3 separate regions of the Mus musculus genome follow, and all the other regions are reported to be linked to region 1. Evidence: microRNA targets listed by miRTarBase, many of them from high-throughput screens and not tested one by one. Region 1 holds a microRNA gene; each other region holds the end of a gene's coding sequence.

Region 1 (7,118 bases):
ACCCTCAGGCTCTAATTTTGCCAACCAATGTCAGTGTCACTCAGAAACCCAGTGTATAGATCTTCCAGCACTCATCTGCAGCTAAGGCCCTGGAAAGCCCCAGGGAGGCTGCTGGGCCTTCTGTTTCTCCTCTGGCTGGCCCAGTTTCTGAGAAGTCAGTGTCAGCATTGCTAGGCTTCATTGCTATCATCTTCTCTATTGCTGGAAAGAATAAAGGGGCACCAATGAGGCAAAAGAACAAAAGCAGGTCCTCCTAGACTACTTGACCTCTTGCAGTACCAACGATGTGTTCTCATCTTCACCCAGGGATAGCATGTTTACAGTGAGTCTCCCATCCAGATTGTCTGAGCTAAATCCCCCTCCCCAGTCTAGCTCTGAGTTCAGTTCAAGAGAAAAGAGGTCACAGTCAAGCTGTGGATCAAGCAGCAACAGTGGGCAGAGGGAAAGGAATATAGACATTAGCTCATCGTATCCTGTGACTACAGTTTCTTGTGCAGACATCGGAATAATAACCTACTTCACTGGAATCTTGGAACAATTGAATATTGTGACTCTGGGGATACTCACATTATATTTGCTCTATTACCCCAAAACAGCCAGGAGCCATAAAAAAATATGCTTGTATCTGGAAGCCAAAAAGTTTTTCTGGGGAACCTGAAAAATACAGCTCTACTCTTTGTCTCCTTTCAAAGATGACAGTTGTGACATCAGAGGAAATATACAGCAAAAATGCAGTACAATGTGAAACATAGCTTGTGAATCTTATTTTTAGGTACATTTTTAAAACATACCTTGTTTTGTGTTAGAGGGTTATCTGTATAATACAGTGTTAAGATACCAGCTTTTAAAAAGACATTAGGGGTTAAATCAAATTGCTAGCCTACAGGGTCATGGGATAGAGAGCAGGAAGGAACATACTCTTTTTGAATAATACTTGTGGAAGAGTTGTCCTGGCACAGGTGACTTACTTGGGTTCAGTTGTTAACATCTCATAGGTCATTGTCATTGTCTTGAACAAGTGACATATCTACCGACACTATGCATCTTGGGAAATTACATAAATTCAAGACATTACAAATGTACATATGTTGAATGGATTTGGTTCTTTTATTTCATTGTGTATGATGATTTCTAATGACTAATGTGAAGTCACACAGGAAACAAGCTTTGCATTGTTTTTGTCTGCTCAAAGTGTTGGCTGTATGGCTGTCATCTGCGTCTGACAGGCAAAATGATTCTCAGGGCTGAGGCTGGTTCTTCTGACTGCACATCTCTGCTTTCTTCAGTGAGATCCTCTTCTTCTGGAAGCTGGTTTCACATGGTGGCTTAGATTTTTCCATCTTTGTATCTAGCACCATTTGAAATCAGTGTTTTAGGAGTAAGAATTGCAGCACAGCAGAGGGTAGACTACAGAGGAACAGCTGTACACAGAACTGGCTCTCTCCTTCGAGAAATCAAGGGAAGACTTGAATAGTGACATTTGCTCTTGAGTCTGTTTGGTTTAGAGGCAGTGATAGTGAGAAAGTTTTTGTGTTCAGAATGTATAAGGGTATAATCAGGAAGTGGTCTACTTTATTCAGCATTCCATGGGTGGAAGAGGGTTCCTTGGGCCTGCACTGTTCATTAATTGTAGCAAGGAAGGGGTAAGAGCTCTGTATGTGGAGGACTGCTTCATTCACATCAGTATGGCTCGTCTGAACCTGGAAGATCCATGGAGCACTCATTCAGTCCTGGTTGCAGCACAGCTGAAATCAGACTGTCACCTGCCTTGAGATTCAGACCTGAAGAACACCACCAGTCGGTCCATCTCTTACACAGGCTGACCGATTTCTCCTGGTGTTCAGAGTCTGTTTTTGTCTAGCACCATTTGAAATCGGTTATGATGTAGGGGGAAGAGCACCAGCCTCAGAACCTTGTGGTGTCAGCATCAGCATCAGCCTATCACTTCCTACGTGGGCAGAGTGGAAAAGGAAGATCACAGTTTCCTAACTTCTTTAATTCGTATGTATGTGGCTGCCAAGGTTAGAGATCACTTAGTGGGGGGTTTTAATTGTTATAATTTATTGTTGTAAAATATTCTCAGTTACAATTTCTGACATGTAGTACTGTTATAAACTAAGTACTGTTAAACGTTGGCTTTAATAAATAATTTGCTACATTCAATCTATCATGTCTGTTTTATCTACTATTTTTCATTCATAATTCTATGGCAATGAGAAGTGGTCCCTGGAAAGTTAATTTGCTGTGCCAATCATAAGGAATTGGAAGTAGGTTGCTGCATGCAGACATTAAAAATGAAGGTCATTAAGACAGGAATGAAATTCTAAAGATGAAAGATTAGCAGAGACAGAAGGTTGGAGCTCTAGGCTGAGGGATGTTACTAAATGGGAAGACTATTCTTGGTTCCAAGGGAACTGTGGACTCTGACCCTCCTCCTGTCAGTTGCTGCAGGGAACTTACTTAACTGCACTGTCATGTGGCCCTTAAAGGGGAGCAGGCTAATTTCAGTTGTATTTGTAGCAGAGGGAGTTCTACTTTCCACTGATAGTTTATTTCAACCCTTCAGTAGGCGGTGAAAAAGTTCTATAAAACTGTTCAGAGATTTGCCAGCATTGGGGGTGGTGGAGGGGCAGGGTTCATGATTGGGGAACTTTCAGGAAGAAAGCAGGTGGCCCCTTCCATAGGAGTTGCATAGCTAACTATGAACTACCTGCAGTACAATTATTTCAAGCCAGTAGGTTTTAATAACTAATGGCAAATCAGCTGCTCAGGAAGCTTCTTCTAAGCCTTCATCCCAGTTGCCTTACCCCAGATGGCTGCCTTGCCCATTTTGCTGGAAGTGGGAGGCTGTTGGAGAATTTGCTGGAAAGACTTCCCAGCGACTATGATGCATCCTGCAGCTGCAAAGCTATTTCAAGCCTTTGATTGAAGAATCCATGTTCTAAGTCACATCTAAGGATGTGCTGGTAGGAATAGCTAAGTCCCTCAGCTGTATTTTTTAATTTACCCCACTAAAGTAGGAGACTGCAGCTCCTCTAAGTATGACAGATTGGGTCTGTGGTATTAACTACACATTAAGTCTTTAAAAAAAAAAAAAACATAGCTACTCTGTCCAAAGCTCCCAATTAATTTGTACTGAAAATTTGATTGAAACTCCCCCAGGCCATGATTCTGGCTCTTTAATGAGTTAAGTGCTAGAAAGTTGAATTTAATATCAAAGCACAAAAACAATGATTTAAAATTTATTTCCATTTAGAAAAATCATAATATTCTCATTGAATACTTAAACTTTGCCATATCCTGATGTCCTGAGAAGCAAATTGAAACCAGAACACCTCTCAGTTATTTTTTATCTGGATGCTTATAGCCCTTTACATAAAATTGTCACTCTGGGATAATTTTTCATAATTGGCTAGTAATGTAGGTTTTTTTTTAACAGCACCCTCCTGAATCAGATTTATAAAACCATGCTGTCAACCCAGGTATAAAGACTTTTGTTAAAGCATTAGTTTTTTAAAATTAAGCCTTACCAGACTTTTTAGAAGTGAATACAGTGTATTTTTGTTAACTGGGGGAAGAAAGATCTGCAACCAGTTTAGTAGATCAAATGAATTAAGTTTAGTCCCTAGCATCTTTAAGAAGTTGGTCTAGGCCTTCTGTTTGGAAGCTGGCATATAGTCTCAGGAATAGATAGCACATTGATATTAACATACTTTTAAGGGAAGCCGGAGATAAATCTGTGTTTGATCTGGGGCACATTCTACCTCAGTACCACATTACTGTGGCTTTGGTCACCAAAAGAGTGATCCTCAGGTTCAGGTCCCATTCCTGCAAGCAAATACTATTTTAGCTGGCTTTAGAATGGGGCTCAGATGAGTCTATTGTAGAGCCAAGGCTGAGAGCCACTTCTCTATTTCTGAAAAGACCATACTATTTTGGTCATAGTTATGTGCTGCCAGTTAATATGTTAGTGCATAAATTTCAAGTCAGTACTGTAACAAATTAGTACAAATGTGATATCTTAACACACACAACATTCTTAACAGGTCTGAATAGCAGAAATATAACATTTTCACTGGATTAGAATCAAGGTACTATCAGACACAAACGCTTCAGAAATATGAAGGAAAAGTAGTTGTCTTGCTTCTTTCTGTAAACAGGCTGTGTTCTTTGCCTTGCTCTTTCCCTCAAGCTTCAAAGGCCAGCAGGATCTCATTTTGCCGATGTGGCCACAATGTCTTCTCTAATCAGTCATCACATTTTAACAAAATCACAATGTGGTTAACCTGCACATCAGTTTGAGAAGTATATTGATTGCTATGGGAGCCTACAGAAGGAATTCTTCATGGTTGAAGCTCACCTCGAGTACAGATTTAATTTTTTTTTGAGTAGGCATTGCAGGTGGAGGTAGGTAATCAGATTAATTTTTTCCAAGCACCATACTTAATATGTTCAACTAAGCATTAGATACGCCCTAAATTCCCAATGAACTCCAAACACTAGAGTTCCTGTTTATAGTGGTTCAGCATTGCAATGTACAACAGTTTTCAGAGCTATTCCTCACATTGGTCTTAATACCTGTACTCAGGTTTTACTGGGTTTTGTCCAGTCATGTCGGGAATCAAGGTGGATAGTTTTTCAGCATTGTCTGTGTGGCAATATGTTCACCTGCTGTATGTAAACAAGCAAGAAGGGAAATTATGCATTCACTTGTTCCACCAAGTATTATATATCCCCCATATTTAAGAAGTGAGGAACAAAAAAATTAATTACTACCTTCACAAAAGCAGAAGAGAGCTACTGTTCTACCTGATCTAAAATAAAATTAATGACAATGTCACAGTGAAGAGGCAGAAGACTGTCAGATACTTAAACAGTCCACAGGAGGGCAGCAGTGCTATGATCTCAAAGGCTGACAGCTCATTTTAGGGTAATCTCAGGATGAGCCTAGAGAGCCTAAGCATACTGATGCATAAGGAAGAATAGTTGTGTATTGGATTCATTCAATTCTGTTCTTAAATAGGCAAATTATTAAACTATGAAAAATCCAGTCTTGGTTAAAATGTTAGCTCTCTGGTAGAATTGCTTATTTCCCTTAAACCTTAAAATTAGGATGAATATTCAGGTTCTTTTTGCCCCTGAGTCTTTCTAGCATAATTCAGACAATTTACTGTTGGTTACTGTAAAAGTCCTTTCTGTATATTTTATGCCAATTAAAAATATGCTAGAGTCTCATGTTAATTTTCTAAAAATGCTTAGTCAATGCAATTTTCATTCTGTGTTTATATTGTTCATAAACATTACTATATCATATTTTAAAACTACAATTTATCATTGCTTATTTTGACAGACATCAATACTTTTAAGCAAACAGTTAATAATCTGTTAATGACTGTTTTCTTCCCAGTGCTAAGGAATGAATTCAGGGTCTTGTACATGCTGAGCAAGCTTTCTGCTGAGCTTCATCCCCAACCCATGAACAACTTTAAGTTCAAGTCTTTGAAAATTTGGTTTTTAATAGGTAGAATTAAACTCTGATTTTCTTTAAGCTGTTATCCTCTTTATATGGAGAGTTGACTGTCACATTTTTATTTTCACATAAAAATCATCATGTCCTATTAGTTACACAGGTTTTACTTTGTTTTTTGAGACCTATGAATACGTTCAAGTGATATGAAAATTACATCTCCTATTAGGCACATGTATACAGACTCTTAAATGTGGCTAACTTAAGGCTAACCAATAAAGATAAAGAACCTGAGGAGTTAGAGCTTCACAGGACTGGTAGGACATGCATTGGCGTTAGAGGTACATGGATTTAGAGAGAATATTAAGCATTTCAGGTGACAGACTGAGTGTGGAAGGCACAGATGTGGTTAATTCACAGCCATTATGTGCAGTGAAAGTGTGAGGCATGGGGATAAGAGCTCCAACTGGACAGGGTTTGGTGTCTGCTTGGAAATGTGACCTTCTTCCTGCAAATACCATGTCACAGGCAGAACATTCTGCTTAGTACACAGGCACTCATGGTTGGATACTGAGAACCCTTGGTGAGCTGCAGGGGCTGAAATGTGAGGTTATAGTAGAGAGGTTAGATACAGATTGTATTTATAAACACAGATTTGATTTACACTAGAAACACACACATTACCACAAATGAAGCTCCTGCAAATATATAATTTTGCGTTTGCCAGACTTGAAGATCCAGTTTTCAAAAATGGAACAGTAATGACTTCCACACATGAGATTTTCATCTTGCTGCAGATACATTTCTGTAGTTAAAAGAACATTTCAAGTTCAAATATGCCTTTTTCTCTGCCATGTGGACAATTTTTTAAAAAGCACTTTTCCTCATATTTATATAACTGACAAAGTATTTGATAAAAATAAAATGTATATTTATACAGACATGTGTCAAATATAAATAGTAATTTGAAGGTTAAATTTGAAGCAGATCAAGCTATAAAGGTAAATTTATTTTCAAAATAAAATATTTGATTGAAAATATTTTAAATTAAGTTTTAAAACAGTAAAGCCATTTCTTGTCTTTAAACAATTAGTAGTTCTTTGTCTTAACTTATCTTTGGCCTCTTTTTTAAATGCTATGATTTTTAAGTATAGCACCGTGTATAGGTACAACTGCTACCTTTTTCTTTTTTTAAGAATGTGAAAATGAGTACAGATTTCAATTTTTCTTAATCAAATTCCTAGGTGGTTTTTTTGTTTTGTTTGTTTTTCTGTCCAAGAGTTATCTTCCTGAAGTATCCACTTGGAGGGTAAAAGGCTTGGAGTTTCACTCAGAGTGACTGTAGGTGTTTATACTCAAAGCAGGGTTCACCCTCGCTCAGTTTCAGTTCGGACTCACAATCTTCTCAAGGGGATGTCTCCTTGGCCCCTCTATGCTACTAAACATAAAAGTGAAAATACACCTCAGAAAAGGCAATTCATCAGGAATGACGGTTTCTTCTCTCAGCAGTAGTTCCTCAGAGCCTGAGTGGGCTGGGGCCTGGTGGAGGTCAAGCTCTGTTCTACCTGAGTATGACCTGCCTCCAGAGCTCCTTCAGTGCAGCTGACAACAGGAGTGCCACTTACAAGGGGGAAGGAGCAGGTATTAGGGG
Region 2 (7,118 bases), not on the chromosome of region 1:
GTCAAGAGATTTAGGAAACAGTCAGACAAGAGTTAGTTGACATAGGGTCTTAACAGTTCTTAGGCTTGCTACGAGCTTCTGAACACAATCAATCCTGCCTCAGCCTCTGCCGTCAGACTATAGGCACCTATGACCATCCTTGGCTTAAGATAATTTTTTGTGTCATTCATATCATTTATGCAGAATATATGTAACATTAAGACCTGAATTTGAAATATGTTAAAAAAAATCAGTGGCTTTTATTTTGTCTTGTGGCCCAGCACATATTCAATGACAAATTCTATTTCCTGAAATTTAAAATGATGCTCTTTAACACACTGAAAGATTTACATACAATGAATCAAAAGCCAAGGTATGCAGAGTTATCCCAAAGAGCCAAACAGCCACCCAACCAGCCAAACCAGATGTTAGCTCAATAAACATATTAATCTAGAAAACCATGCCCTTGGTCCAGGCAGCTGAGATGAATGGTAGCCCCAGGAAGGAAGGAAGGAAGGAAGGAAGGAAGGAAGGAAGGAAGGAAGGAAGGAAGGAAGGAAGGAAGGCAGGCTTCAGATTCAATCTACTGTGGGCAAAGCTCAGTGACAATGATAATGGGAAAGCAATATTCTTGACCTTACATCAGCCTCTTTTACTGATGAAATAAGGTTTCTAAAGAAAGGTCTGGATCTTGGAGCAGGCTAAATTCATTAAAGTGATAAATGCCACCTACGAGAAGCCTCCTGAAGAAGAAATCTTTTCAAATACACATCAAACATTGTGTGGCTGTGGATCTTATACTTGACTAATCATAAGCTGAGGGCAGGGTCCATCGACCTTTATTTAATACACCTTCCAGACGATCCGGAGGCTTCTAAACTCAGAGTTACTCTCCTCTCACTAACATCTATTTAGAAGCTATGATTTGCTAATCTCAGTTTGTTCTGGAGTCACTCTCCTCTTAGGGCCTAGCCATAACACTTTTCAAAACTTCTCAACTGGCTAACTTCACTTTATTTTTTTCCCTAAATCAATCCCCTCGATTACCAAGGAGAGCTTATACCAAAAAAACCATAAAGACAACTCATTCTTTTATCCATAAATGTAATGTATAAATGTAATGTTGTACTGAGCTACTTAAAAATATTTAAAACTTACCTCCTTTTTATTCAGGATGAGGAGCCCATAGAATCCAAGCTGGACTTGAATTCCTTATATTGCCAACGATAATCTTCAACTTCTGAGTGTTGGGATCACAGGCATGCAACATCCTGCCAGTTTCCAGGGTGCTGGGGACTCAGCCCAGGGCTTCATTCACTCCAGGCACTCTGGCCACCAGATTCCTCAGTGCCTCTACTGCCCTAGTCACGTCTTCCTTCAGAGCCTCAGCAGTACTGGCTACTGTTCATTTTTGTTTGACTTATTGCTTCAAACTTATAACTCAGGCTGATCTTTAATTCCGAGGACTTTTCTGTGTGAACATCCAGAATGCTAGTCTTATTAGGCATAAACCACCACCTGGCTTAAACTTGTATTTAATAAAAAGTAAGGCTGGCCTTTTCTGCCCTATGTTTATGGTAACGTTAATAATTTACAATTGAGTTCTCATGTCAGCAACTCATGTAGGATTTGTTTTATTTTTAATTATGTGTTACAGTCATATCTGTGTAGGTGAGTGTGAATGCCTGAGGTCAGAAAGGGTACTATATCCCTGGTGCTAGAACTACAGGCAGTCGTGAGCCATCAGTGGGTGCTGGAAACTGCACTCTATAGTCTTCTGCAACAGCAGCAAATGCCCATAACCACTGGGCATCTATCTGGGCCCTGAGAGAATTAATGCTTCCTTCCTACGTTTCTTCTTCTTTTTTTTTTTTTCCGAGTCAGGGTTTCTCTGTGTAGCTCTGGCTGTCCTGGAACTCACTTTGTAGACCAGACTGGCCTCGAACTCAGAAATCCACCTACCTCTGCCTCCCAAGTGCTGGGATTAAAAGCGTGCGCCACCACCACCTGGCCTACTTTTTCTTCATTCTTGATGGAGCTCTGGCTGACCTGAAACTCTCTATGTAGATCAGTGTGACCTCCAACTCCAAAGATCCACCTGTCTGCCTTTTCAGTGCTGGGATTAAAGGCGTGCACCACCACACTGGGCTCTGAGGAATGTTTTAAGATATCAGGTGTGATGTAGTAGACTTATTCCATTAAGAGTGACTATATAGATAATGCATGGTATTTCTATTCTGGTTTATCTCTATTAAGAACAACGCGTAGCAGTAAACCTCTGGACCCAGTTTCTTGGGTTCTCACTTGGGTATTTCTGAACAATGGAGACACCTGTACTTTTCAGAGTTCCGGTTGTGAGGACTAAGTGGATTGATATTTGCTAAACACTGAGGATCATGATAACAAGTTTAAAAATGACAGTCATTATTTATCATGTCCTGTTCCTACCATTTTCTAGAAGCATTTTTTTCACACAAAATGAAATACGGTATGTAAACTACATGCATTACCATGCTGGAATCAAGAGTTCAGGTGTGTAAGCTGAAGCACACACTTTAACTTTCTCATACAGATCTTCAAAACAGGAGAAAACCTGTCCTTACCGAGTCCTACGGTGAAAACTAGACAAGAAACACAAGCAGACACAAAATGCTTGGCATAGGGCGTCACATGCACCACACAGTCTAATGTGAGGCTGGGAAGAGCTCAGAGGTAAAGGAGGCCCTGGGGGGTGGGGGCAGTGAACCTATTTCCTTAAAATAGCTAGTATTAAAAAGGTGTTGCCGGGTATGGTGGCGCACGCCTTTAATCCCAGCACTCTGGAGGCAGAAGCAGGCGGATTTCTGAGTTCGAGGCCAGCCTGGTCTACAGAGTGAGTTCCAGGACAGCCAGAGATACACAGAGAAACCCTGTCTCGAAAAAAAAAAAAAAAGGTATCAAGCTGGGCAGGGTATTACATGGCTGTAATTCCAACTGCTCACGAGGCAGAAGAATTGAACTGGAGGTTAGCCCGAGATAGCAAGACCTCCATCTAACAAGAGATTGACCAAACTATCAAACTCATTAATGAGGAAAATGAAGTTCAGGGAATCAGAGGCTAAAGAACTTTCTTTTGTTGTTGTTCTTGCTTGTTTTTAAAAAGGGTCTCCCTATGTAGCTCAGACTGACTTCAAACTTGCCACATAGACTAGGCTGGTCAGAACTTCGGACCTGTTTGGTTTTGCCTCCTGGATTAAAGGTGTGCACAACCATGTATGACTTAAAGGAATTTCTCAAAAACAGCAGAAAAGGGATTTGAGGTCAGGAACATCCTAAGAACCCAAGGCACGCGTCCTTACACAGCCACGTGTTTCAGGCTCTATCTTTATGAAGATACATATCCTAACTTCCTTTCAAAAAACAGGACAAGATAACAAAGTTTGTTTATAGAATTAGCATTCAACATTTATTTAAGTCTCTATAGTACTGTAAGAACCCTTTATACAGGATAATGTATGCTGATGGCAACTTGCCCTCCTCCTACCATATGCACACGATCAAGAACAGCACAAAGTTTCAATGCAAAATGATATAGTACACATTTTTACTTATTAAAGTTTATTATCTTCATAATTACAACAGTAATTTATAAGTTTGAAACATGAGAGAACATCTATGAAGAGAGCACAGATAAAGCTGAACAAGTACATAAAAGGAAGATGGTTAAAACTCTGTCTTTGTTTCAAGCGCAGGCTTTGGAGCCAGGGTCAACACCATAAAACATCACAAATGGCTCTTAAGACATTCATTCTATACACTCAAGCATGGAGATATAGATATGTTTATGTCATATTACATACTTTAGTATGATATTGGCCCACTGAGCACACACATCTTAACAAAGGATAAGAACCTCTATGACCCAGCTAAGCGCACAGAAGATTAGGGCACACTTACTACACATCAAAAGTTGCTGTTTATAAGTTATAGATATTTAATATTTCCAGAGTGTTTTTTATTAAAAAAAATTAAAGCATTTCAAACATTTTTCACTTTTCTCAGTGCAAACGAAGGTTATTCAAGTCAACTTACCTTTCTCCTGAGGAGTGAGAGGAAGGGGCAAACAGGAACACCACCCAACCTGACCTGCTCATCACCCTTTGCAGCAAGCACTTAGGCCACGGAATTAGTTATCACAATTAAAGCCTTGTGATTACGATTCAGCCCTTACTTCATGTTTTAACTTTTATGCTGAAATATTTATTTACAAAAGTAGAAAAAAGTTAGCAGTGCAAGAAAGTGGTTGAAGTTTGTTTTAAATCCCAGCTATCCAATAGTATGTGGAAAAGAAAAAAAAGCACCATTTCAAAATGGTCTGATTAGACACTAGAATTTACTTATAGGCCAGGCAGTAAATTACTCTAACAACAGTTCAATACCACCTTAACTTGGCTATCCTAAAGAATTTTAAATAGTTTGTAGGTGCATTTTTGTTTATCTTGGTATTACAAACACTAAATTAGTAACTCTTATCTAAAAAATTACAAATTATAGTTTACTTCAAATCCATTTAAAATCCAGCTGTCTGTCAGGCCAGTTCAGCAGAAGATGGGCTTTTAACAAAAGTAGGGCTCTGATAATTTGGCAACTTGGTTTATTTTTCTCTCAATTTAAAAACTAGGATTTTTTTGGGGGTGGGGTAGCTTGTCAATTTTATTGGTGAGACAAATAAAGCAAATAAAGAAATTTAAACTACAAAGATGGACAGAAAGTAAGAGGATATAACAAATGTTATTTCTTCCATTTGTATCACTGCAAATAGCTGGGCCTTCACTAAAGAAACAAAACACATAATGAATACCAAAGTACCTTCCAATTCTAGCTTCCTAGACTTCAGGTCACTTATGAACTACGGTCAGTGCAGCCACAAAGGCAAAATGGGTACAGGCTAAGTGTTTGCTTAAACGGATAGGTTATATTTTAAGTTACAAATTTTCCTCACTAGCACTTAAAATGAACATATCCTTACAAATTTTATTTGTAAGAAATTGGTTTGTTTGTTTTTAACTAGGAAACATGTCGTGAGGTATCTGTTAATCGTAAAATTCTTTAAGTCCAGAGAAAATTGTTCTAAAAACATGTTTCATATACAAGGCTTTAATACTTTTATTTAGGAATTACTTGCGGCTGGAGCAATAATGGTTTAACTTATCCAGTTTTCAATAGTGGAGTAGATCTATGCAGAATATTTTCCCCTGTCTCTAAGTAACTTAACTATATTTTCTCCAGAAGTACATATAATGCACTTTAAACTGACTAATTTGTACCGATCAGAAGAAACAGGATACTCTTTCCCTCCCCCTCCTTCAAGCACTCAGCTCAGGGAGAATACTTGCACACTTTCAGAACTCCAGTCGTTGTCATAGTAACTACAGGACAAGGGTAGCACAGCGCAAAACTACATCTGCTAGGTTCCAGAAGGCAGAGGCTTGATGCTCTAGCTTTACAGGGGCTAGTGCAAGCAGGCAAGAGCTCACTATAAATGCACACCAGAACAGGGGTCTAGGCAAAGCCGTTTAATTAGGGTACTGCTTTTGGAAGAAAAAATAAAAGACACATTTGAAATAGCACCCCCCCCCAAAAAAAAAAAAAAAAACAAACTAGACTTTTGTCACATTTCTAGGAATCTCAAACCTTTTGTATCCCATGCTCATAGGTAGTTTGATGCACATGGTAAATAGCTTCAGTGTTCCAGAGAGCACTGTACTGCTGACAAAGGACAGATAACTCTTCATGCTTCTGAGATCTCAGATTTGCTAAGTGCAATGGCCAGTTCCAAGTCTTCTTGCTCCTGCTGATTTAGTCTGGCAAGCCTCTGTTCTTCTTCCCGCTCACTTTCCCTTTTTGCCCATTCAATCATATCTTCTTCAGAGGGATACTGCCATTTAAAAGATCCAAAGAATGAAGGAATTAAAAAATAAGCTAAGACATACAAAAGACCTTTTATAAAAGAGTGCTAACTACTTGTTTTACCTAAAGGAATAGTACTAATTCCTTGTTTTTCTGAAAATGTATTTTAACTACTTACTGAGCTCTGGTTTACTTTAAAATTTTAACACAATCTATGGGAAAATAAGTCTATAAAAATATAATAAGGCCTATAAAGTACGCCATTAAAATCATCACCTTAAAAAGTAGCAATTCCAGGCATGGTGGCATATGCTTGCAGTCCCAGAACATAGGGGACTGAGGAAGAAGGAAGCCAATCTGGGACACAGTGATATTTTCTCTAAACAGGTTAAATGCTTAGGATAGAATAGGATATTTAAAAACAGGAGTGGTCTAATCTTTCACTTCACCATAAAATCCTCCCTTCTGGATTTATTTTATTTTATTTTATTTTATTTTATTTTATTTTATTTTATTTGAGATGGACTATCACTAGGTGGCTTATGTTGGCCTCAAACTCATGATCCTGCTGCCTGTGTCCTAGGTTGTGGGATTACAACCATATGGCAGCATGCCTGATTGACATATCATTAAAATTAATGCCACTGGTGATAGCCGCTTTACCTGGCCTCTCAGGAAACCCCAAAAGTATAAAGCAAAAACAGACAAATTTTGCTACATAGAAGAACGTTAGATACAGAATGTGAACCTAATTATTATTATTTTTTTAACAAACATAGTTTCTGATAGTCCTTAGGAACTTTTAACCCAGTTTTATATAACTAAAATGACCCAGCTTAAGTAAAACCTGAATACTGATGATTAATTAGATTGGAAAAAATATTTGTAACTACAACCAAATTTCAACTTCAGTAGATACTAGATACAAAATTCTACTTGGCTTGAGTCTTGTCAAGAGAAGACCCATCAAAAGAGGTGAAACAAACTGGAAGGCTTTGACAGTGTACCTGTCACTCTTGGTGTGCTTATCAAACCTCTCCCAGTGAAAATGGAGGACTTTATTGTGAGCTACTATGCTGTACTGTACTGAGATTCAAGTATAAAGTAAGCAAAATGCCTCCACTACTGTTCAAGAGTCATTCCAACCAGGTTTTACTTGCAGATCCATATTTAACACACTGACTGTTACAAACTGCCAGACAGTTATTTTAGACCGAGAATTACAATCTCCTAAGAAAGCCAATTCTCCT
Region 3 (7,118 bases), not on the chromosome of region 1:
TCCTAGGAGAGGTGGGCGGGAGGGGTGTCTCCTAGGAGCCAGGATGAACTGCGCTCTGCTCTGGAGAGTCTGCACTCTCCCCAGAGCCTGAACTACTGTTTTTTCACCTGCCGTTCCATTCCAAGCTCCTGAATGCTCTTCCTGCCTAGCAGGAAACACGTGTGAGAAGAGCCTGCAGAGGGAGTGGAAGAAGGTCGGGGAGTCTCCATGAGCTTGGGTGGGACTCCACTCCTCCGCCCACAGTTGGCATAATGTCCTCAGGGCTCATCCGTGAGTCAGCTTCCTTTCTTTCTAAGGTTGGACAAGGGCCATTGTTACATTCTTTGACAATGAATGTGGGTTTGCCCTGACCGGGCATGGGGATCCCTCCCTTTCCCAATCACCGCTTCTGGTCCTGCACCTGGTCTAGCCATTTGCTCTTGCTGCTTGGGAAACAGCTACATCAGATCAAACGGAAGCCAGAACTGGGGACTCCATGCTGTCATTTCCATGACACTCTTGTCTTTGGGGATGACACTGGTGTCTGGGGCTACTCCTCAATGTTACACATTATACATGCCCTGGTATCCTCTTGGATTTGCCAAAGACCACACTGGATCCTGTGAAATCACACCAGGAAGAGCACTGGCCTAGGCTCCAAGGGGAGTGAAGAGAGGATGGAACCCTACTGTGGATCTAGCCCAAGCTGAGATGCTTGACTCAAATAGACAGGAGCCCCATCTACCCGTTTGCTGTCACCCCTTTGGAGGCCTTTCCCATGTGTGACCTCACAGGCATCTTGCTTAATCTTTTTCATAATGTGTTTACTATCTGCCTCCTTCGCTGAGTGTGGAGGTTCCCTTCGTGGTTCATGGCTAGGTCCCCAGTGCCTAGAACATTGCTTAGCATACAGCCAATACTAGATAAATATTTGTTGACTGAGTAGAATGGATAGAAAAAAAGAAATCCAGAAAGACCAGTGGGTGAGTGAACTAGTTATTGCATGACTGTAGAAGCCCGTTTGAAGATATGACCACTGAAGGTACGGAAAGGGACAGCGAAGGCTTCATGGAGGAGGAGGTACCAGAGGCAGGAGCACAGACCAAGCGGACTCTGGAAACTATGAGATAAGCTAAGCAAGGGTGGCTCCACCTTTCCTCTGTCTCCCAGCCTTTCCTGCCCAGGCAGAGGCCCTGCCTCAATCCAGACCTCTGTGCCTCCTGTTCGGTTCTGCTGTGGGTGGAAGGGGTTTTTTCCATGGCCGATCCCTTCAGACTCTGGTTATACAGGACCTGCACTGCCGCCGCACCCCCCCCCCCCCCCCCCCCCCCGTGAGCCTCCTTCCCTGAGAACACCCAGCAGGGGCAGCTGTTGCCAGCTTTGTGCCTCTCAAATTAGTTCCCTCTCCCTCTCCTTCTGACCTCGCTAGAACATTCTCATTTACTGGCTTAGCATAGGCATTTCCTTCTTTTCTACCTAGGGTAGTGGCTCACTCTCCTGTTGAAGGGGCTGCGGTGGTATGAGCACGGGTTACAAATCAGGCTGTCTGAGCTCTAATCCCTGCCCCATTTCTCACAGACTAAGGATCCTTAAGCCCTTAGGGTCATCTGTAAACAAACATAATACCTCATAGGATTGTTATGAGAAGAGAGTTACTTGTAAGGAGCTTAGTCCAGTACGTGGTCAGCCTCTGTTCAACAAGAGGCCAGTGCTTGGTGACTGTCCCTGCCTGGCAGCTTACCTGCTCCAAGACAGAACACAGCGTGTAACATAGAATTCCCTAGGGTGGTTGTTGTTGTTGTTGTTCTTCTTCTTCTTCTTTCTTCTTTCTTCTTTCTTCTTTCTTCTTTCTTCTTTTTCTTTCTTCTTTCTTCTTTCTTCTTTCTTCTTCTTCTTCTTCTTCTTCTCCTCCTCCTCCTCCTCCTCCTCCTCCTCCTCCTCCTCCTCCTCTTCCTCCTCTTCTTCTTCTTCTTCTTTTTTTTTTTTTTTTTTTTTTTTAAAGATTTATTTTATTTATATGAGTACACTGTAGCTGTCTTCAGACACACCAGAAGAGGGCATCAGATCTCATTACAGATGGTTGTGAGCCACCACGTGGTTGCTGGGAATTGAACTCAGGACCTTTGGAAAAGCAGTCAGTGCTCTTACCCGATGAGCCATCTCTCCAGCCCTTCTTCTTCTTCTAAATTAATACTCGTAGATTCTTAGTGCTTGGGGGTGGGGGTGGGGTTGATGAACAGAAGCAAAGACAGAGCTCTCTGACTCCTATAGTCCACAAGGAACCCACTATAGTGTCCTGCACTATCCTGGCAGGCATGTGAAAGATGCTGACGTCTGTCTAATGAAGAGGATGGAGGCAGGTTACAAGGTAAACAGAAACTGTGAAGAGCTACTCCCTGTCTTCAGGGCCTCATCCTCCCTAGTCCTTCCCTGAGAGTTCTCGGGACAGAAGCCTTCCTTTCTTCCTCCCACCTACCCCATCTTCTAGCCTGGCTCACCATGCCCAAGTGCCTGACTGGGCACCCCTAGCCCTTTCCCCAGATACCACTGCCTTGTGCTACACTGTTGGAGAAGACCATGGTCAGGTGCACACCAGCTTAGAGAGTTTAGAGGAAATGCTCTGTCCCCAAGTCCCGTCACTCCGGTGTTGGCAGGGCAGGGCTGCCAGGAGCCACATGCAGCTCAGCTTGGAACTGGAAGTTTGGCTGAACAAGGGAATGAAGAAAAGAGGCAGGCACGGAGAGAGAAAGGGAGAGGGAGAGGGAGAGGGAGAGGGAGAGGGAGAGGGAGAGGGAGAGGGAGAGGGAGAGGGAAGCTAAGGTGGTGGGCAACACTCACAGCAACCACTCCACAGCAATCCAGACCCACATCAGCCTGTCTATTCAGGACAGAACCGGTTGGGGTAAGCTCGTCTCAGTAGGAGGTCTCTGTAGGGGAGCACTCTCAGGTTGCAGTCCTCTGGGAGAAGGAAGCTGAAGTTGCACACACTGGTCAACACTCAGACTTGGACCTGAGGACGGGTTTGCCAATTCCTAAGGGTCTACAGTATTGGTCCTTGTCAACAACACACATACACTCAAAATTTCATTTCAGGAATTCCAGAGCTGACAACTGGCTGGCCTGACTTGCTTAGCAGGGAGCTTTCTGCAGGACCTTAGGTATCTCACATTCCTCCAACCTTCCAAGTGCAAATTCCATCCAGGCGCTCCAGCTGGGGAGTACCAGTTACTGACCATCCAGGCACTGTGGCTGAAGAGTACTAGTTATTGACTGTCCAGTCACTGCGGCTGAGGAGTACCAGTTTCGCTCACAGTATGCTAGAAAGGGTAGCGTAGAATGGAAAACAGTCAGGAAAGGAAATAGCTTGGGCTTGGGAGGCAACTACAAACAGGGTGTGCTAGGAAACACTCCTGAAGGAAGAAGTCAGGAAGGCTGGGAGGTGGCGGGAGTCAGAGCAAGGGGCAGAGCTCTATCCCTACGACACATGTAAGACAGCTACAGTGGCATGTTCATGTACTCCCAGAGCCAGGGAGGAGGAGACAGGCCTATCGTGGGTGCTTGCTGCCTAGCCAGCCTAGCTTTCTCGGCCAATTCCAACCCAGGGAGAGACCCCTTCTCAGAAAACATGGTAGTGGGCTGGAGAGAGGTCTCAGCAGTTAGGAGCATAGGCTGCTCTCTGGCTTTCATTTCCAGAGCCTACACGGTGGCCTATCTGTAACCCGTCACAGGGTCTCCACGGGCACCATATACATGTGATGCAGACATACATGCAGATAGAACATACACAGAACACAAGAGCACAGGTGGACAGACCTTGAGGAATGACACTTGCCGTAACATCTAGCTTCCATATGTGCCACATACACAAAGCTGTCAGATTCTGAATTTGTTCTGAAGGTGCACACCGGACGTGGAAGAAAAGACCAGACACCTCAAAGGGCTGGACTGGTGCAAAGGGGATGAACGTCACTGACAGGAGACAGTGGTTGAGCACATCTCGGGTGGGACAGGGACTATGACAAGTTCAGGGATGGGGATTCTGGCCATCAAATGGAAAACGCGGGTAGAGAAGGGCAGCTGTGTAAATCAATGTTGGGAGAGGCAATCGATCATACATGCAGGAGCAGCCAGCATGTTGAGGCCATTTCTAGCTGACATGCTGGGAGAAAAATCAGGCCCATTTCAAGCTCTTCTAACCTGGCTGTCATTCCCCACCACAAGTGCCACCCACCTACATTTTTGTTTTCTTTTTCTTATTTTGAGACAGGGTTTCTCTATGTAGCTCTGGCTGTCTTGAAACTATGTAGATGAGGCTAGCCTCAAACTCAGAGATCTACCTGCCTCTGCCTCTCTAGTGCTCAAAGGAAAGGCACTGGCCAATATGCCCGGCCTTTGTTTTCTTCTGTGTTTTAAACACTGGGTCTATGTAGCCCAGTTGAGCCTTAAACTCACAATCCTAACTGCAACCTGGAGTGCTGAGATCCCAGCTCCTGGCCCAGCCACACTCATGCCCATCGCAGCCTGCTTATTTGCTACTCGGGGAGAAAGTGCAAAAAGAAATGTCTAAACCAAGCTGCTTTTGAGTCTGGACTAGCCGAGCACCATTCCCTCCTGTGCCTGCATTCTTGTGCTGCTCAAAGACCCAAGTGGCCCAGCCAGTAGTTAAGCCAAGTCTACTGCTATGCTCACATCGACAGACTTCAGGGTGTCCCCATTCCCCTCTCTATCCTGGATCCCAGACCAGAATTCGCTCCCATGCTCGCACTGCTGGACACTGGTGGTATGTCCTGAGATGGTCACATCCTGCTGAAGATCCATGCAGCAAGCACTGGTAACAACAGGGACAGTGCAAGGGCCTGAGGGAGGACAGACAGAGGGCACTGATGGCATCCTGTCAGGTCACAGCCTTCCCAGAGGAAGCAAGAGTGAGCAGGCAGTTAAGGGTGTGTGGTTGGTGAACAATGCATTTTGTCTGACGAGCTGGGAGGGAAGCGTGGGCTATGGGCAGAGAGAACAAGTTACCTGAGTATGCTGGCGAAGCTGGGGTGGGGGAGGCTTACTGCTTAAGGACTTGTTCTACAGGAACCCAGCGTTCTCTAAAGGAGATAGGCAAGGGCAGGCTCCAGGGCTAGTGCTTGATTTAATGAGCGGTCCTTTTCCTTTAGCTTCTGAGACAGGGTTTCTCTGTGTAGCCCTGGCTGTCCTAGAACTTGCTCTGTAGACCAGGCTGTCCTGAAACTCACAGAAATCCACCTGCCTCTGCCCCCCAAAGCGCTGGGATTAAAGGTGTGCAGCACCTGGCTAAGAAGTGGTCCTTAATACCAAACATTTCCAGGCACCGCAGAGAGTCCGCCATTCTGACACACTGTAGTTAGCCACTCTGCTCTGCCTTTGCTAGGAGGATTTTCATGATCATAGGTTATATTTACAGAAAATCTCCCAGCCAAAACCAGAGTTGGGGAGTCATTACGAGAGGGGTGGGAGATACACAGACGAGAAGGCATTTCTGTCTGGGGTGGGCCCATAGGCATCACAGGCTTTAGCTGGGAACTCTTCCCAGGCCTTAGGAAGGAAGCAACGACCTAGGAAGGCTGCCACTTTATTACATCAGTAAGTTCACAGACACTCACCCCCACCCCACCCCACCCCACCCCACCCCCAAACAGCACCACAGCTCTACTGCGCCCATTGCCTGGGCCATCAGAATGTCCAGTAAAGACGGAAGCATCGCTAGGCTGTCCGGTATACTGCAGCACGAGCCCCTTGTAGGCAGAAGCACGGCTGCCACAGGAGAGGATGGGAAGGGATTTGGCTCAAGTCTACCACACTGGAAACCACGCCTTGGCCCAGACCAGCTCCAGAGGGAGTTAGCCTCAAAAGCTAACTCTGGAGACACAGCGGGTGGCAGAAAAAGCCCTGCCCTGCTCCCTCGGGTCGGACGAGTGCAGCTGCAGTTGCTGGGGAAAGGGAGGACTAGAGAGGGGGCACACCACGGGCTCGCCGGACTAGAGAGGGGGCACACCACGGGAGCGCCGGACTAGAGAGGGGGCACACCATGGGAGCGCCGGACTAGAGAGGGGGCACACCACGGGCGCGCCGGACTAGAGAGGGGGTACACCACGGGCTCACAGGACTAGAGAGGGGGTACACCACGGGCACGCCGGACTAGAGAGGGGGCACACCACGGGCTCGCCGGACTAGAGAGGGGGCACACCACGGGCTCGCCGGACTAGAGAGGGGGCACACCACGGGCGCGCCGGACTAGAGAGGGGGCACACCACGGGCGCGCCGGACTAGAGAGGGGGTACACCACGGGCTCACAGGACTAGAGAGGGGGTACACCACGGGCACGCCGGACTAGAGAGGGGGCACACCACGGGCACGGCGGATGAGGTTAGCCAGCCGCTTGGCCAGGCCGCCCGACTTGGGCTCTTCGATGTGAAAGGTTCGGGTGAGGAGATTGTAGAAGGAGCCATAGCACACGGCCACCACCGTGCACGTAAGGCAGATCACATTGTAGGGCATGCTGAAGTCCGGGGTGGGCAGGTTCACTAGCAAGGGCTCTGTGTAGAGTCGGACAAAGTAGCTGGAGCCATCAGACACCGGGAACCTAGGGATGGGAAGGAGGGCTGAGACAGGACTGCTGCCCCACCCTCCGTCTCCCTACTCTCCACAGCTTGTGCTGCAGGTCCTAGTGCTGACACCCAATAAGGATCACCTCACCAGAGAGCGCAGGCTCACCTGATCAGATCAAAGGAGAGCACCAGCACGGAAGCAAAGGGCCGCCTTGTCTACTGCCTTAGTCTCAGCCTTAATGGCTCTCCTCAAAATAGCTAACTTACTGCATGCCGCCACCGCCACCACCACCTCCTCCACCACCACCGCTTCCACCATCATAGCTATCTAGAACAATCTGCCCACGGCTGAGCACAGGGGACAGGCCACGTTGTCTATCTTCTATCTCTCTTTAGTCCCTGACACTAGGTAAGCGTTCCACTGATGTTAGGTTTGGTAGGTACCTGCAACTACTCTCACCTTTTTGTCTTAGCCTTTTATACATCTTTACCAATGTCATAGGCCACTAGGATTTCAAGAGGGCCTGCTAAATCTCACATGACTGTGGGAGAGCGGAAGGGTGT

The links. Region 1 holds the annotated microRNA mmu-miR-29c-3p (UAGCACCAUUUGAAAUCGGUUA, at 1,859-1,880, shown strand). A microRNA usually pairs through its seed, bases 2 to 8, with sites in the 3' UTR of a target mRNA and lowers its output. Matches are read on the target gene's strand: a 7mer-m8 pairs with bases 2 to 8, a 7mer-A1 pairs with bases 2 to 7 and ends in A, and an 8mer does both.
Region 2: the mRNA of Eps15 is a reported target of mmu-miR-29c-3p. Seed matches in the 3' UTR shown: 7mer-A1 at 5,584-5,590 and 7mer-m8 at 4,315-4,321.
Region 3: the mRNA of Pigt is a reported target of mmu-miR-29c-3p. Seed matches in the 3' UTR shown: 7mer-m8 at 5,644-5,650.

Annotation. Positions count from the first base shown.
Region 1 is chr1:195,035,742-195,042,859 of GRCm38, forward strand. Mir29c (microRNA 29c) reads left to right here and starts at 1,806; the gene lies at 1,806-1,893. Cd46 (CD46 antigen, complement regulatory protein) reads right to left here. Exons shown (of 11, transcript NM_010778.4): 11 at 5,497-6,272. The coding sequence ends at 6,251. It overlaps A330023F24Rik (RIKEN cDNA A330023F24 gene), which reads left to right. Exons shown (of 8, transcript NR_015566.2): 8 at 1-2,167. It overlaps Mir29b-2 (microRNA 29b-2), which reads left to right and starts at 1,299; the gene lies at 1,299-1,379.
Region 2 is chr4:109,384,097-109,391,214 of GRCm38, reverse strand. Eps15 (epidermal growth factor receptor pathway substrate 15) reads right to left here. Exons shown (of 25, transcript NM_007943.3): 25 at 3,398-5,896. The coding sequence ends at 5,750. Among named protein-coding and RNA genes, the nearest start is that of Ttc39aos1, 19 kb to the left of the region's middle.
Region 3 is chr2:164,506,746-164,513,863 of GRCm38, reverse strand. Pigt (phosphatidylinositol glycan anchor biosynthesis, class T) reads right to left here. Exons shown (of 12, transcript NM_133779.2): 12 at 5,563-6,589. The coding sequence ends at 6,337. Among named protein-coding and RNA genes, the nearest start is that of Pigt, 13 kb to the right of the region's middle.